2 linked regions of the Elephas maximus indicus genome follow. The protein of the gene in region 1 interacts with the protein of each later gene in a pairwise test. Links are inferred from orthologs where the notes say so. Each region holds a gene or a part of one and is shown on either strand. Other genes may lie near its edges.

Region 1 (7,855 bases):
TTCTACCTTTTGTCTAGAAATCAAAATCAATAGTTTTCCTATCATAAAGTAACGAAATTACTTTCTAGTAAAAAACATGGCATCACAAGTTCTTTATTATGTATGTCACATCTGTAATGGCCTTCATACTTGAAATTTTTTGTAGTTTACACAAAATTTCTAATTACAAAAATATATTATCGAAAATTACAGTAAACAAGGAAATTAACTCCAGTTAAGGTAACACCTGGGCTTCGAACCAGTTCATTCCTTCAAACCCCTAAGAATTTGCATTTCGAACAAGTATCCAGGTGATGCTAATCCTGCTGGTTTGGGAACAATTCTGAGAACCACTAGTAGGGCAGTGATTTTCAAAATTACACATAAAAATCACCTGGGGATCGTGTTAAAATGTAGATTTTTTTAAGAAAAAATTTTTGTGTGTGCATTAGGTGAAAGCTGACAGAGCAAATTAGCTTCCCGTTCAATAGTTCATACATAAAGTGTTCCATGACACTGATCTCATTCCCCACAATGTGTCAGCACTTTCCCCACTTCCGTCCTAGGTTCCCTGTTTCCTTTCACCCTGGTTTTGTACCCTCTCTCCTGCCTTCTCAACTTTGCTTTTGGGCAAGCATTGCCCTTTTGAGCTCATATAATTGATTGTTTTAAGGAACACATTCCTCTCAGGTGTTTATTTTATGGGCCAGTCTATGGTTTGTCTGAAAGGTCTGGTATTTTTTGAGAATTTGATTGCTCCGTTTTGCAATTTTTCTCCTGCTGTCCAGGGCTAAAATGCAGATTATGATTCAGTATATCTGGGGGTGGAAATGTGAATTATTAGCAGGGGTTCAAACCAGAATGAACCAGTTCGAAGCCTCCGTTCAAATGAAACTAAAAGCAGCCAGTTTTTGCACCTCATACACAAGTTCACTGTATACTGCAGCAGGCATCATTCTCCAAACCTTTAAAAGCATCTAAATGTATATAAATTTGATATTTAACTTCCTCAGTAACTGAATAAAAACAAGTTATCACCATTTCTTGAGTACCTACAACTACTGTTTTAGAGTAGGAGACCTAGGTTCGAGTCTGGATTCCTCCTCTTAACAGCTGTGTGAACGAGGGTATGTCTGTTAAGCTCGCTGAGGCTCCAATGATTCCTCATCTGTAAAACGGTAACAACTGTACCAATGGTAGAGTTGTCTTGAGGACTAAATGCACGTAAAGGTCTTAACACAGTGACTGCTGTTACTACTCCCCGTCAGGAATCACACAAGGGTGTTTCTTCACACAGTTTTACAGCTGGTTCAAAAACACCATGAGGAAGTTTTAAAAAATCACAGCTGCATGGAGTCAATTCTGACTCATGGCGACCCCATGTGTTTTAGAGCAGAGCTATGCTCCACAGCATTTTTAATGGCTGATTTTTCAGAAGGAGATCTCCTGGCCTTTCTTCCCAGGTGCCTCTGAGTGGACTCTAACCTCTAACCTTTTGGTTAGCAGCCCAGCACATTAAAGGTTTGCACCACCCAGGGACTCCCTGAGGTAGCTAGCACTTCAGTTTTATATAAGTAAACTCTCCGAAGGCAAGATTCCATTAGGAACTTTCCTCTCAGTCACAATGCTTAACAAGAAGTAGTCCTTTCTTAACTATTTAATTCGTTCATTCAACAAATCATTTTGTTCATTCAACGAATTATTGAGAATTTCTTACATGCCAGCCACTGTGCTACACGTTGGGGTTAAAGCGGTGATTCCTGCCCTTAGGAAGTTTGTTTTAGTGGGAGAGACAATCAATTAGCAATCAAACCAAACCAAACCCGACGCCGTCGAGTTGATTCCGACTCACAGCGACCCTGTAAGACAGAGTAGAACTGCCCCATAGGGTTTCCAAGGAGCGCCTGGTGGATTCGAACTGCCGACATTTTGGTTAGCAGCCGTAGCTCTTAACCACTAGGCCACCAGGGTTTCCACAGGTAATCAGGTAATCACTAAAATAATGACAATAAAGTAGGCTAAGGGATTTAAGGGGTGTGGGGGGGTGTCTATTTTAGCAACCATCATCAGCGAAGGGCAGCGATGGGCAGCTTGGCTGGTTTAAGGAACAAAAAAAGAAACTAATGAGCTTCGAGACAAGATACCAGTGACTGCTCATGATAAAGGACCAGAGTCGCATCTTTTAATCCCCTACAGCATCAAAGATCACCTGGGATCCGGATTCAAGCTTATCTGAATTCCAGGCCTGGCTCCTCTGGGCCGTGGGAAAATTCCCTAACATCTTTTCACCCTGGGTGAGCTAGGTAGGCATGGTTACCGCTACCAGGGCTGGTGTGAGCGTTCGGTGGGGCAGTGAGCAGTCCCACCAACATTACCTACAGAGCCACGCGGAAATACCAGTGCCCACATCCCCTCCTGTGGGGTCGTCTTTCGTGCCTAGGCCCTCTACAGGGCGCCCTGAGGGCTTCGCCACCACACCACAAGCCTACAGCCCCCACCCCTCACCCCGCCAGATCATTCCCGAATTGGCCCACGGCTCCTCGCCCCACAGCACGCTTGCAAGTGGCACATGTCAACCAAAACGCCATTTGCACCCTCTGCTCCCCCACGCAGCCCTCGCTCCCCGGGCTTTCAGAATGAGGGACCCACCCCAAACCCCGCCATTCCGTCCCCCCTTCCGCCCTCGTGTGACGTAAAGGCCACCCCCGGGGTTCCCCGGGCCACCCCGCCCGAGCCCGCGCTGCGGGCCCCGTGCTCCGGGGCGACCGCCGCCGCCACCACCGGCCGCGGGCCGCGTGGGCCTGGACCGGGCCGAGCTGACGGGCCAAGCTGCTCACCACGACGCTGGGGCTGCGGGTCGCCATAACAGAGCCGGCCGGCGCGCGAGTTGAGGACGGGCAAGCGGCCATGAGGAAGCCGGCTGAGGAGAGAGGAGGAGACGGAGGCGGGGACCGAGGCGAACGCAAGGCGGTGCTGCGCGGGAAGGCCGAGGGTGCGCGCGAACGCTCGCTGCCGCAGCCGCCGGCGTCTGAGGCTGAGGCGCGCAGGCCCCGCCCCCGGCGCCGGCGCCGGCGCCGGCCCCGCCCCCGCATCCCGCGCGCGCGCTCCTCTGCCCTCGGCTACAGGTTTCCACCGCACCAGGCGGCCGGCCGTGGGAATCTTCTTCCGGAAAATGCCGGCACCGCCCCCTTTCCCAGCACAGGCTCGGTCCCACCTTCCCTGAGTGACCCGTGCAGGTGGCTTCCAGAGTGCTAAACCAGCCGCCAGCTGTGTTTCTTCGTCGTGACCCTAAACTGGGCGCCGGCTCTGCAGGTTCCAGTCCTCACGTGGCGCCTCTCATCAGGCGTCCCTTTCCTAAGACTTTGCACCAGCTTGCGGCTTCCATTTTCCTGACTTGTGGCCAAGTTCTTCCAAAAATCCTTAACTGGCTATGAGAGTTAAAACCCAGGGCCCTAGAGTTAGCCAGCCAGATGAGGATGCAAATCCGGAAGAAACACTTAACTGCTCTGTGACCTTGTCCAAATTACTTAGACTCTTGGAGGCTCAGTAAAATGAGGACATTAACGTTAAGAAAACCAAAAAAGAAAAAAAAAAAAAACCCACTGCCGTCGAGTCAATTCTGACTCATAGCGACCCCACAGAACAGAATAGAACTGCCCCACAGGATTTCCAAGGAGAGCCTGGTGATTCGAACTGCTGACCTTTTGGTTAGCAGCTGTAGCACTTAACCACTAGGCCACCAGGGTTCCCAACGTTAAGAAAAAGCTACTGTAAATTCAGTTTAAAAATTCAACATTTAAAATAAGTATTGTTGCAATGGTATATATATACATACATAGATATTTTGCATAGCAATACAAAAAAAATTTTTTAATACAAATTTTGGAGGACCACAGCATATGGTTAAAAACCATGTTCTTAGTAAATTAAGAAATTTATGGAGTTATAAAGTACAGTACTTAAGACAATGTACACTCAGTAAATGGGAACTATCGCTGTTACTGATCTTCATTTTTGCCTCAACAATTTCCTCTTTGGAACTGAAAAAACAAAATCGCCTACTGACTCTCAAACAGGTTAAGTAAGCCACAGTTGCTCCAGAGATGCCGTTCCTGATGTACTCATCTGTGTATAGCGCCAGCATCTACCACACAGTGCCGGGCACAAAGTTGGTGGCCTCTCTCTTAGTAAGGACACTGAGGGATATAAGAGATACGTGCTGGTAGAATATCTGTGAAACTGGGCAAGTCATTGGACTTCTCTGAGCCTCAGTCTCCTCATCTAAAAAAATGAAAATAATAATTTCTGCCATGAGGGATTATTATGAGAATTTGTAAAGATCATGTATGTAAAGCACCTAGCATAGTATTTGCCACATAGTAGGAGGAGTTAGCTGTTATAAGTTAAGCATTTTGAAGTCCGTACTTCCCTGTTTCTCTGTCTTCCCTACCTATCATGGGGAGGCAGCAGGCTATAATGGAGAAGGTACATGTGGGCTTTGGACTGAGAAAGACCTAAGTTCAAATTATGATCTCACTGTTTACTAACTAGCATTATGACCTTGGGCAGGATCCTCTGTGTGCTTCAGTTTCCTCAAATATCAAATGGGAATAATATCTCCTTCACAGGGTATGATGAGGATTTAACTAAATAATATACGTAAAAGTGTCTAGCATAGTGCTTGGTTCAATAAGTAATAATTTTATGGTTCATAATTTTGCCTTAAACAGGTTTTCACTCTGTATCCTAGTCTCTACGACTTCTCATCCGTTCCCCTGTTGATGGGCATTTGGGCAGATTCCAGGTTTTGGCTATTGCAAACAGTGCTGCTATGCACATTCTTTATATGTCTTTGATGAAGACATGAGGGCATTTCTATTGAGTATAGACATTGATGTTCAAATTAGCACATTTTTACTAACCCTTTTAATAAACATTGAGTTCTACCAGGAAGTTAATTCAGAGAACTTCCAGTTATACATCCGGCCCTGACAAGTGCAGACTCAGCTACCCACATTTGTTTCTAAATTAGGTACCCAACAATTCAGAATCCTCCCAGCTTGCTTCTGGTTTGCATTTCCTATCCCCAACCTCTGCGGTACCACACACTGTTGCATTTCAACAATAGATTTGAAATAAACAGTGATAGCCTGTCACTCTATGTGATCACTAAAAAAAAAAAAAACACCAGGAGTTTTTATTTGTATTTAAAATGTAAAACAGCAAACAGTGCAAACTTTGAGACGTAATCTTTGGTAAGTGCAAATTTGTTCAAATATGAAATATCTTACCGAATTTGGACAATATATTCAAAATTGAAATTTAGTCTTTTAACTTTTAATTGTTTTAAAACTAAAGAAGGAATCAAGAAAATAATGATCCTTACTAATCATTACGTGATTATTACTGAAAATAAATTCATCATATAGAGGCTCTGGGTGTCAAATATACTAGGTGTTGTTACCGCAAATCGCGGGTTCGAGCCGCCTGTCGCAAAGCCCATACTGAGACAGGAGGAGGTAAGCAGTAAGAAGGCTTTATTGAATACTGGTATTCAAGAGACCCAAACCCACCCAGTTCAAGAGACAGAGGGGGTTAAATTTCTCCCAAATTCTGTCTAATTCTAAAGAGCTAGTGGAGAGTTTTATAGGGGGAAGGTCAGGGCTACCTAATGTTTTTGAGCACGTAGCCCACAGATGGTCTTACACATCACAAAACAACTATAAGAAACTCTTTATTAAACTAAAGATATGCATGCCAGACATCTGGACTCTAATCAGTATGTTTGTAACAGGCTGAAAAACTCACATAAGAATCTCTCGGCTAGTGGAACTGTTCTGCCAAGTCCACTCTGGCTGAGATAGGGAGCAAGAAAGAAAGTTGCAGATTAAAAAGTGTCAGCTTTTCTCACTGCCGTTTTGCCGGCTGAAGGCCATTTCTCAAAAGAACAAAAAAGAGAAGAGAGACCAAGGCCACAGGAGCTGAGAGAGCTCCGCCCTCCCTTGGAAGAGACCCGTGCAGCTGGTGCAATGAAAAATGTTTAGAGATTAGAGATCATTATGGCGTTAGTTGCGTCAAGCTCTCAATCACCCATTTTGAATAGGAGAAAACATGTTGTAAGGTATTAGGGTGTTTGGTATGTTTAAGAGCGGAACAGGCTGCTCAGCTATATCTTGAACAGAACCTGTACCATTTTCCAAAAACTAGAGATTAATCACAGCTTATACAGCTATACTAAAACAAACTAGAAAATATATTCCCTCGAATATTTAAAACACTAGAGAAAATGTATTTTCTCTACTCCAGTATTATCCCACAAAATGATCTTTAAACAAATAGTAGTTTAGCTTAATTAGTAAAGAATGTCTGCCTTGAGCATCGTGCTCTTAAAGAGCTATCTATATGGAATCAAACTGACAACAGCAACTCGAAAGACTAGATAGGAAGCTTAGGGGGCGGTGAGTTTATGCTAAGGACAGAGGAACAACTCAGAAAAGGAGGGTGAGAATGGTTGCACAACTCAATGAATGTAATCAATGTCACTGAATTGCACAGGTAGAAATCGTTGAATTGGTATATGTTCTGTTTTGTGTAATCTCAACAACAAAAAACTTACTGTTAAAATATGCTAGGTATGCCACTGTTCTTTGCTAAAATGTCTGTCTGCAGGAAGAAATAAGGCAAGCACGGGTAAAAAAATAAAACCCATGGCCATCAAGTCAATGCCAACTCCTAGTAACCCTATAGGACCGAGTAGAATTGCCTCATTGAGTTTCCAAGGCTGTAATCTTTATGGAAGCAGACTGCTACATCTTTCTCCCTCGAAGCAGGTTGGTGGGTTGGAACCGCAGGCCCCTCAGTTAGCAGATGAGTGCTTCAACCACTGCGCCACCAGGGCTCCTACCCAAAATCCCTCTACCTCCACTCCTACCTTTCCAGAAACCATTCTGTCATCTACTTGTTTGAACACATTTATGAATTTGTGTGTGCATCACAACCAATTCTATTTCTGCTCTGTACATTTCTTAATTTAGTAAGAAAATGGTTTTTATACCATTAGTGCCGTGCACCTCCAAATTTTGTATTGCTATGCAAAAATACACGCATGTATGTATGTATGTATGTATGTATGTATGTAATGCTGCAAAAAGACGTCAGTGTTGAATTTTTAAACTGAATTTCTTAATAATGTCAGCTCTTTCACCCTCACATCAGAATTAACTTCCATAAACTTTACTTTGATTCCATGAATTGGACGGGAAATTAAACCTTCATTGGAACCGATTTTCTAGTTGAAGCATCTGATGACACTGATATAAAACTGGCATGATTTAACGTGAAGTTCTTCTGCTAACAGAGAGCTACTCATGAAATCTACCGTTTCACTTTTCATCGTGTACAAGAAACGTTGAAATCAAAATGAGCAAATGAAGTTTGAAGAACAGTCATTTGAAGAAAACAAAAGACATTCTTCACAGAGCGATATGGAAATACCCCCTCTGCAGCTGCACCTGGTTAAATGATCTTTGAGCACACCCTTCTCAAAATAACACAAATGTTTGACATAGACGTTGACACCTTCTCTCAGTAGATTTGTCTTCTGGTTTTCATGTCCCGCATGTGGATGATAAATGTCTACAAATGTTTTGTGTATACCTGACACATCCATCATCAACTTTCTTGAGAAACAACTTGGGTATTTAATTTTTCATTAATTATGTACTTTAGTGGAAACCCTGGTGGCGTAGTGGTTAAGTACTACAAAAAGAAAAAAAAATTCTTTTCTTTCTATGGCTGCTAACCAAAAGGCCGGCAGTTCAGATCCACCAGGTGCTTCTTGGAAACTCTGTGGGGCAGTTCTACTCTGTCCTGTAAG
Region 2 (7,767 bases), on another chromosome or scaffold:
CCTCCCACGTTTTAGTTAGCGGCCAAGCACATTGACTGTTTACACCACCCAGGGACTCCTGGCAACTGACACAACTACTATAAAGGAAACCATCGAGGACACAGGAGAGCTCAACAATATCATCGACCGACAGGACCTAACTGACACACACACAACACCTCAGCCAACGGTAGCACAACATACCTTCTCAAGTCTCCACGGAACATTTACCCTCTCTTGGGCCGAAACAGAAACCTCAACAAATCTAAAAAAACTGAAATCATACAGAGTATGCTTTCTGACCACAAGAGAATCAAACTAGGTATCAATTGCAAAGCCAACAGAAAAACCTCTAAACATTTGGAATTAAGAATACACTTCTAAACAATATGGATCAAACACGAAGTCTCAAAGAAATGTTTTTTAAAAAATATTTAGAACTGAATGGACATGAAAACAGAACACAGCAAGACAAGTGGGATGCAACTAAAGCAGCGCTGAGACGGAAATTTATAGACTTAAATGCTCATTCTAGGAAAGAGGGGAGGTCTCAATCAATAATCTAGGTTCCTGCATCGAGAAACTAGAAAAGAACAAAACAATCCTAAACAAGCAAAAAGAAGGAAATAAACACATGTGGATGTGTTCCGAGCTTCCAAAAATGGCAGGGCCAGGTTTCCACAGGCCTGTTGGAAAGTTACTTATCGTTACGCTCCATCATAAGGACAGTTACAGCAGGAACTACAGACTGCGGGGTTAGGAGGAGGTTAGGAAGGAGGTCTGGAAAAATTGGAAAAGTCAATTTCTAGACCTCAGGACAAAGAGGATAAGGCCAGAAGTCCTTCAGCTCACCATCGCTTGCCAGGTCCCATCCTATGTGGTCACCTTCTGAGCTCTATCCCACCCATCCTCGGTGACCCGAGGCAGGACAGGCAATTGTATAGTAGCCAGGAGACCTTCATGCCGACCTCCATCCTGTCGCCTCCTTCTCCTTAGTAAGTAAACTATGTACTTTCATTAAGGACTTCATCTCTCTGGTTCCAAGCCTCCTCTTCCTACTAAAACAGATGATTCTAGTTTCCCTACCTCATAAAACATTAAGGTCAAAGTGAGCTAATGGCTCATCAAAAGACCTAAGGCTAGAAATATGAAGAACTGATTTCCATACAGACAGGGACACAGTCAGTCTGGCAGGTATCACACCGTACTTGCTGAATGAATAAAAGACTGAATGAACTTCAGCATACTTACTTATAAAAGAAAAATGGTAACCACCTGTCTATCCCAACTGGTTCCTTCAAAAATCAGATTCTATGACAAATGCAACAAGTTATACCAACGCATGACGTTATCTCATAACTTAAAAACAGTGCCAGCAGGACATGCAACGTGGCATCTGGTCCACAGGCAACCTTTAAGAGTTCAAATCCCACTGTGAGTGACTCTAGGCAAATCATTTCATCTTTTGTTCTGAGCCTCTTTCCTTTCCTCATCTGTAAAATGAGAATGTGCTCAATCTCTTCAGTTTGCCCCTCCAACTCCACACCACCCTCCTCTCCCCTCCCTGCCCTGTGCCTTCCTGTGTGATCCACATCAACTGGGCTCTCTGGCCTTCAGTTGGGTTTGCTCAGTGGGAGACTAGCAGAGATCTGGAGGAAGTGAGGGAGATAAAAAGAGTTTTTCTTCTTCCACTTGCTTCCTTCCCCTACTGGGAAACCGCTGGCTGCACCCTTTGACCAAAGGTCTCAGCTCCTCTCAGATGCCAACCCCACACAACTATTCACACTACTTCAGGCCTAAAGGTGGACACCAAGTCCTGTTGTTACCAACTGTGGAATACTAAACCTTTGCTTCTTACTTGCCTTTACAAACACAGTAGTCCCTTTATGAACCTTTTCTTAAATTATCCTAATTTGAATGCACCATCTATTTCCTGCTGGGATCCTGGCTTATCCAAAAGATACCACCACCTACATCTCACAAGGTTGTTTTACACATTAGAGGTCATGTTCCTCGTGGGTGCTAGGCACAGGGCTAACATTACTGTTATGACCATTTTATGATGCAAGAACACTGCTCTTAATTTACAAATGAGAAAGCAAAGGATCAGAGAATTTAGGAAATTCGCCCAAGCACATACAGGTGTGGAACAGCTACAACGGGGGTTTGAGCCTCCAACTGAGTAGCCTCTATCTTTCCATTCCTATTTTCATCGTCGGATCAATATTTATTCGACTACAACATATTTCATCATCGTCGTCATTCCTACAGACAAATAGTGCTCTTACAATTAAAATTTACTTTACTGCTAGATGTAGTTTAACTGTGTGGTTAGTGGGAGTCCTGGAGTCGGTTCGAAGCTCAAAGCCTGACTCGCTACTTGCAGAACGTGTAATCTTGAGCCAGAGACTCCCCTCCACGAGCCTCAGTGTCCTCCCACGAAACGGGGACAACGCTACTGCCTTCACTGGTTCGCTGCGAGTATTCAATGGAATAATGCTTGCAAAGCGCTGGGCACGCAGCGAGCGCTCAAATAATGGAAATTGCAATGTTAAGTAACGGTTCTGCGGCCTTGGAGGCTTTACTGCCGCTGAGGATCAGGGCAGCATCTCTGCTCCAAGGGGCAGAGGAGCGGGCTAGGGCCTGGAGGCGGAGGGAGCCCGCTGCCCACCCCGGCGCCCACCTGCTCCTCCAGCCGCTCGATCTCCAGCTGGTTTTTCTCCTCCTCTTCGTCGTACTCCCACTCGTACTCCCCCGGGGAGCTCTCCGCTGAAGAAGCCATGGCGTACTCTTCATCTCCATCGCTCTCACTCACGCCTTCCTCCTGCGGATCCCACGCTGGCCCCACCGTCTTGTACGACGCAGCAGCCACAGCCCGCGATAACACCTTCCTCCTCGTCCTGGTTTCCTTAAGCTCATCCTCGTCTCCCTCGGCCTTGGGCCCAACTTTGGGCGCAGTCTTGGGCTCAGCCTCCGGCTCTGAAGCGGAGGATGCAGCTGCCGTCGCCATCTTGAGTCTCCAGTGACTTGGGTCCTTCGTTCCGCCGCCGAAGACTGGCTGAAGTACAAGCTGCCCGCGGCGCACGCCTGATCAAAACCCCGCCCTCTGGCCACCGAATGGGAAACTGCGAGCTTCGGATGATGGGAAAATCTCTAAATACACGCCATTCATATTAACTTTACATATTTGTAAAAGATCCTGTCAGAAAAACAATTCTTTAACATGGCATATATTCCGCCACAACTTCGGACAGAAGTTGGGTCTTTGGGCAGGAAGTGGAGGGCATAGAGGAAGTCATGAAATGAGCGTGATGACTGTAGTTAAGGTTTTGACGCCATTTTGAGAAGGTCAAAGGGACTCCTCGAATATATGCATTAATGCCTCTTGTGACCTGGCGCGTGGTTCAGTCACCTCAGCAACCGAGACACAAACGTAGTGAAAACTCCAAGTCCTTGGAGAAGGATCGATTGCGCTATTTATGAGAAAAATTCATTTCCCAAAGAGATTCCTCTCATTATGTAAGGACTGGTGCCTAATCCAAAACCAAGCCCTTTACCGAGTGGATTCTGACTCACAGCGACCCTAGAGGACAGAATAGAACTGCCCCATAAAGTTCCCGAAGAACACCTGGTGGATTCGAACTGCAGACCTTATGGTTAGCAGCCATAGATAGCACTTAGCCACTACACCACCAGGGTTTCCGGCTGGCACCTGATAGGACCGGTGCCTAGTAGGTGTTAAACGCACACATGAGTTTTCCGGTTTTATAAGATATTCTGCAAATCAATATGAATTATTTCCTAAGCATTTATTTAGAAACTCTTAACTGTCAAGTATTACCATATAAATTTTGATAGTTTACTGTTGTATAGAGAGAAATAGATAAAGAATATTTTTAAATAGGTATATACTTTTTTAATTCAGGGCATGGTGTTCATTTCCTCCTTAAACTCCCATTTTTGAGCTAGGAAACTATTGTTTCTTTATTGCCTTTCTCCCTCGTTAGTAAGCTTAGTTGGGACAGAAATTACATTTGTTTTGCTTTTCGTTGGCTCGCCAGAGACTAGTATAACGCCTTGACAAGTAGGAGGTGCTCAATACATATTTGCTGAATGGGCGAAACAATTTTATTTGAATTAATGCAAAAAAAAAAAAAAAAAAGAGACGCTTAGAGAGCTGATGTCATTCGTCTAGGGTGACAACCAAAAACCAAAAAAACCAGACCCAGTGCCGTCGAGTCGATTCTGACTCATAGGGACCCTATAAGACAGAGCAGAACCGAAGAGCGCCTGGTGGATTCGAACTGCCGGCCCTTTGATTAGCATCCGTAGCACTTAACCACTACGCCACCAGGGTTTCCAGGGTGACAACCAGGAAGGGGCAAAATCAGGACTCTAACCCAGGGTTGTTCGAATCCCAATTGTACCTAACTCTAAGCGACCTCAGACAAGTTATTAAACCGCTCGAACCTCAGCGTCCTTAGCTGCAAAAAAGGATGAGAGAGCGGACTGGGTGACCTTGTGTGCTGCATTAAGTCGGGTCCCTCACCCCAGCTTTAGGTCCTTTCCCATCCAGAACGCAGCACCTAGGACTCGCTTTCGTGGTACTTGGACCTTCCCGCTCCCAGCCCCGCCAGCCCCCGGAGAGGTGTGGTCAAGGTGGGGACAAAGCACGAACCGCACGGGGCCGAAGGGCGCAGGCGCGAAGGCGCGGTGACGTAAGAGGGGGCGCGCCCTAAGCGAAGCCCGTCGCTCGCTGCAGGGCGAGCCACGCCCCCGGCCTCGCTCTTGGCTGGCGCAGGCGCGACCCCGCAAGATGGCGGCGGCTGGAGCGGGTCGGCTGCGCCGGGCGGCGTCGGCCCTGCTGCTCCGGAGTCCTCGCCTGCCACCCCGGGAGCTGTCGGCCCCGGCCCGGCTTTATCACAAGAAGGTAGGGGCAAGCATAGGGTGCGCGGGGGACGAACGGGCGAGGATCGCCGAGGAGACGAAGGTGTCCGGAGGCGTGGGGGAGGATCGGGTTGGGGCCGGCGACCGGGGGACTGCGCGGCCTGGAGCTTCCTGCAGCCCGAGGTCCGGGGATCCCCCGGCCCTGGGTGGAGGGACTGTCTCCTCCCACACCTTTGCCTCAACTAACTTTCTCTCGTTTCGCAATGGAAATAAAAGTAATAGCCGCTGCTTGTCGAGTGGCGACTTCCAAAGGGCCTTACTGCTCGTTGCTATTTTGTGCGTCACAGCCCTTAAACTTCCCTAACAGGACTCTTCTGAGTTCTTGGACCTGTTATGACTTGTCAGCCTGACGCTAGGGCACGAGCTCCTCTTCAGCCAGGCCACTGCCCTGGCTAAGTGACCTTGGGCAAGTCACTGCCCCTCGCTGGACCTCATTCTTTTCATTTGTAAGTTGGGAATCTTAGCAGTCCCTTCCTACAAGAGAGAATGCGTGTAGAGTTCTCTGCATGGTACCTGGCACATAGGCCCAACACACGGAGACCATCGATGATGCTGCTGCTATTAGTATTTTAATAAAATGATCTCAAGCGCTATGGCGGACCTCACAGCGATGACCAAGATCTATCTGCTTGTGGAGCCCATAGCCTCGTAGTGGAGTCAGGCACATGACCAACAATCAGTCACAATGTCCTTGTCTTTGTTTTTTTCTGTTGGGGGGTGGTGTGCGTGCGTAGATTGCAGCCCTTGCCTTCTGGAAGCTTAACGTCCCCTAAAGATGAGACTCTTCTGCTCGGGAAACAACTAAAGATCGCTGGAAATCAACATGGGGCAGAAGTCCAGAGTGGATTTTATCTTGTGGGTCCTTGGGCTTAGAGTCAAAATCAGTGGTTGTATAGGCAAAGGGGAGGAGACTGGAAGATCAGGATAGTTACTGCTGTGCTAGCTGGGAAACAAGCCTCAAGATTACTAAAGCCTACTGTGTCGGACTGAATGGGTATTTATACTGTTCTGGCTTCACCACGTTTGTCAAGGGCTAGGGCACTCTCCTAGACCCAGGGAGAGGTTTTGTTGACAGCCCATGGTGACTGAACTTGGGCTAGCAGCCTTTCAGCCACTAGGGCGCGCTGCTGAACCAGTGTTATTTCAGGGCCATGAAATACAGTAATGAGACTTTATTTTTTAAAAAATCGTACATAGATGGCCACATTCCATAGCATTCTTCTTTCGACAAGAGTCATCTTGAACCTTCTGGGAATGCTTTCGTAATTATTTTAAGAATTTGTTTATAGTAACCTTTTTTTTTTTTAGATCATTATCTTTTGAAAATTGACTTTATTTGGAAATAATAGAAATGCTGTGTGAGCCCAAGTCTCGTGACTTGGTTTGTGACTAAAAACCTCCTGGGACTAAGACATAATTTAGCTGATTTTTCTCCAGGATCTCAAACAGTGTCTGAAGGTAGTTGGAGAGGAGATACAAAAAGGTTTTGGATAACAAATGGTTCTCACTGACACGAATGTAGGCCTTTCTCCCCAGGTGACTCTTGGTGTTTGCTGATTGCCTGCCAGCTTCCGGTTGCAGGCCCTATGCCAGGCTCAGAGAACATGGGCTGGTAAGATTCGGTCACTGACTTGGAGGAGCTGACAGTCAAGTTGAGGGGACCGGTACCAAAAAGAGAGTGGTCTTGATTTCTCTTACCCTTCTCATTTCAGGTTGTTGATCATTATGAAAATCCTAGAAATGTGGGGTCCCTCGACAAGACGTCTAAAAATGTCGGAACTGGACTGGTAGGGGCTCCAGCTTGTGGTGATGTAATGAAATTACAGGTAGGACGGGTTTTCTTCGTCTCTCACGGTGGTAGCAGTAACCCCTTTGAAGATAGCACCAAACCAAACCCAGTGCCGTCCAGTCGATTCCGACTCATGGCGACCCTACAGGACAGAGTAGAACCGCCCCATAGAGTTTCCGAGGAGCGCCTGGTGGATTCAAACTGCCGACCCTTTGGTTAGCAGCCATAGCACTTAACCACTACGCCCCCAGGGTTTCTGAAGGTAGCACAGGACCGGGCAATACTTCATTCTCTTATACATAAGGTGGCCATGAGTTTGACCCCACTGCACAGCAACTGACAACAACAGCAACTTTGCTTATATGGTGCTGCGGAGTTTACAAAGCATTTGCACGTACAGCGTTTTGTGTGGTCGCCATCTTTATTCCTATGAGGCGGGATGAGTCCATGTTAAATAATTAGTAGAAAAAAAAATTTTTTTTTCTACTAATTATTAAAAAAAAAAAATTATTAGCAGGGACTAAATCCTAGTTCTCCTGCTGTTACACTCTGCCCAGCCTTTCTGAAATAGTGATCTCACAGCTCTGCTCCCTGTATCAGCTCGAATTTCATCTTCTGCTAAGTAAAAAGTGTTGTAAATTTTACTGATCGAAGGAAAACCACAACTGTTTAGCTAGCAAACTTCAGTAAGACAAGAAACACAATAAATCAAATCTCTCCCCAAACTGGAGGCAAAATGAAGGTAGTGGCTGGCGCACTGGGTAAACTATAGCCTTATCCACAATGTTCTTCATCATGGGGTGTGGGCAGCCTCCCAGAGGTTTCCATGCTTATCTTGGGAAACAGAAACAAGGCAGGAAGGACCCACTAAATGCAGTTTGTGCCAAAGGAAAAAGCATTAACCAGAGAGCTCTATTGCATGCCCTCCTGCGTTTAAGGAGGCAGATTGGCCCTGACGCCATAAACAGACTTCCTCAAATAGAACTGCATAGCCAAAAAGCAGACTACCTGTACCATACCATAGCATACCCATTGGCGTCAAGTCAATTCCA

Evidence for each region. The genes of interacting proteins can lie anywhere in the genome.
Region 2: the proteins of HPRT1 (region 1) and ISCU interact in binary tests that used the Homo sapiens proteins (3 or more experiments, as listed by UniProt). The two-hybrid records come from large-scale screens. The link is inferred for Elephas maximus indicus from reciprocal best matches to the Homo sapiens genes HPRT1 and ISCU.

The regions. Positions count from the first base shown.
Region 1 is NC_064846.1:21,482,670-21,490,524, forward strand, and holds the start of HPRT1 (hypoxanthine-guanine phosphoribosyltransferase), read right to left. Parts: upstream 3,018-7,855; 5' UTR 2,889-3,017; coding exon 2,817-2,888; intron 1-2,816. UniProt on the Homo sapiens protein: Converts guanine to guanosine monophosphate, and hypoxanthine to inosine monophosphate. Transfers the 5-phosphoribosyl group from 5-phosphoribosylpyrophosphate onto the purine.
Region 2 is NC_064840.1:19,109,917-19,117,683, forward strand, and holds the start of ISCU (iron-sulfur cluster assembly enzyme ISCU), read left to right. Parts: upstream 1-4,755; 5' UTR 4,756-4,795; coding exon 4,796-4,909; intron 4,910-6,638; coding exon 6,639-6,752; intron 6,753-7,767. Other genes in the region: SART3 (squamous cell carcinoma antigen recognized by T-cells 3), read right to left, coding at 2,663-2,989.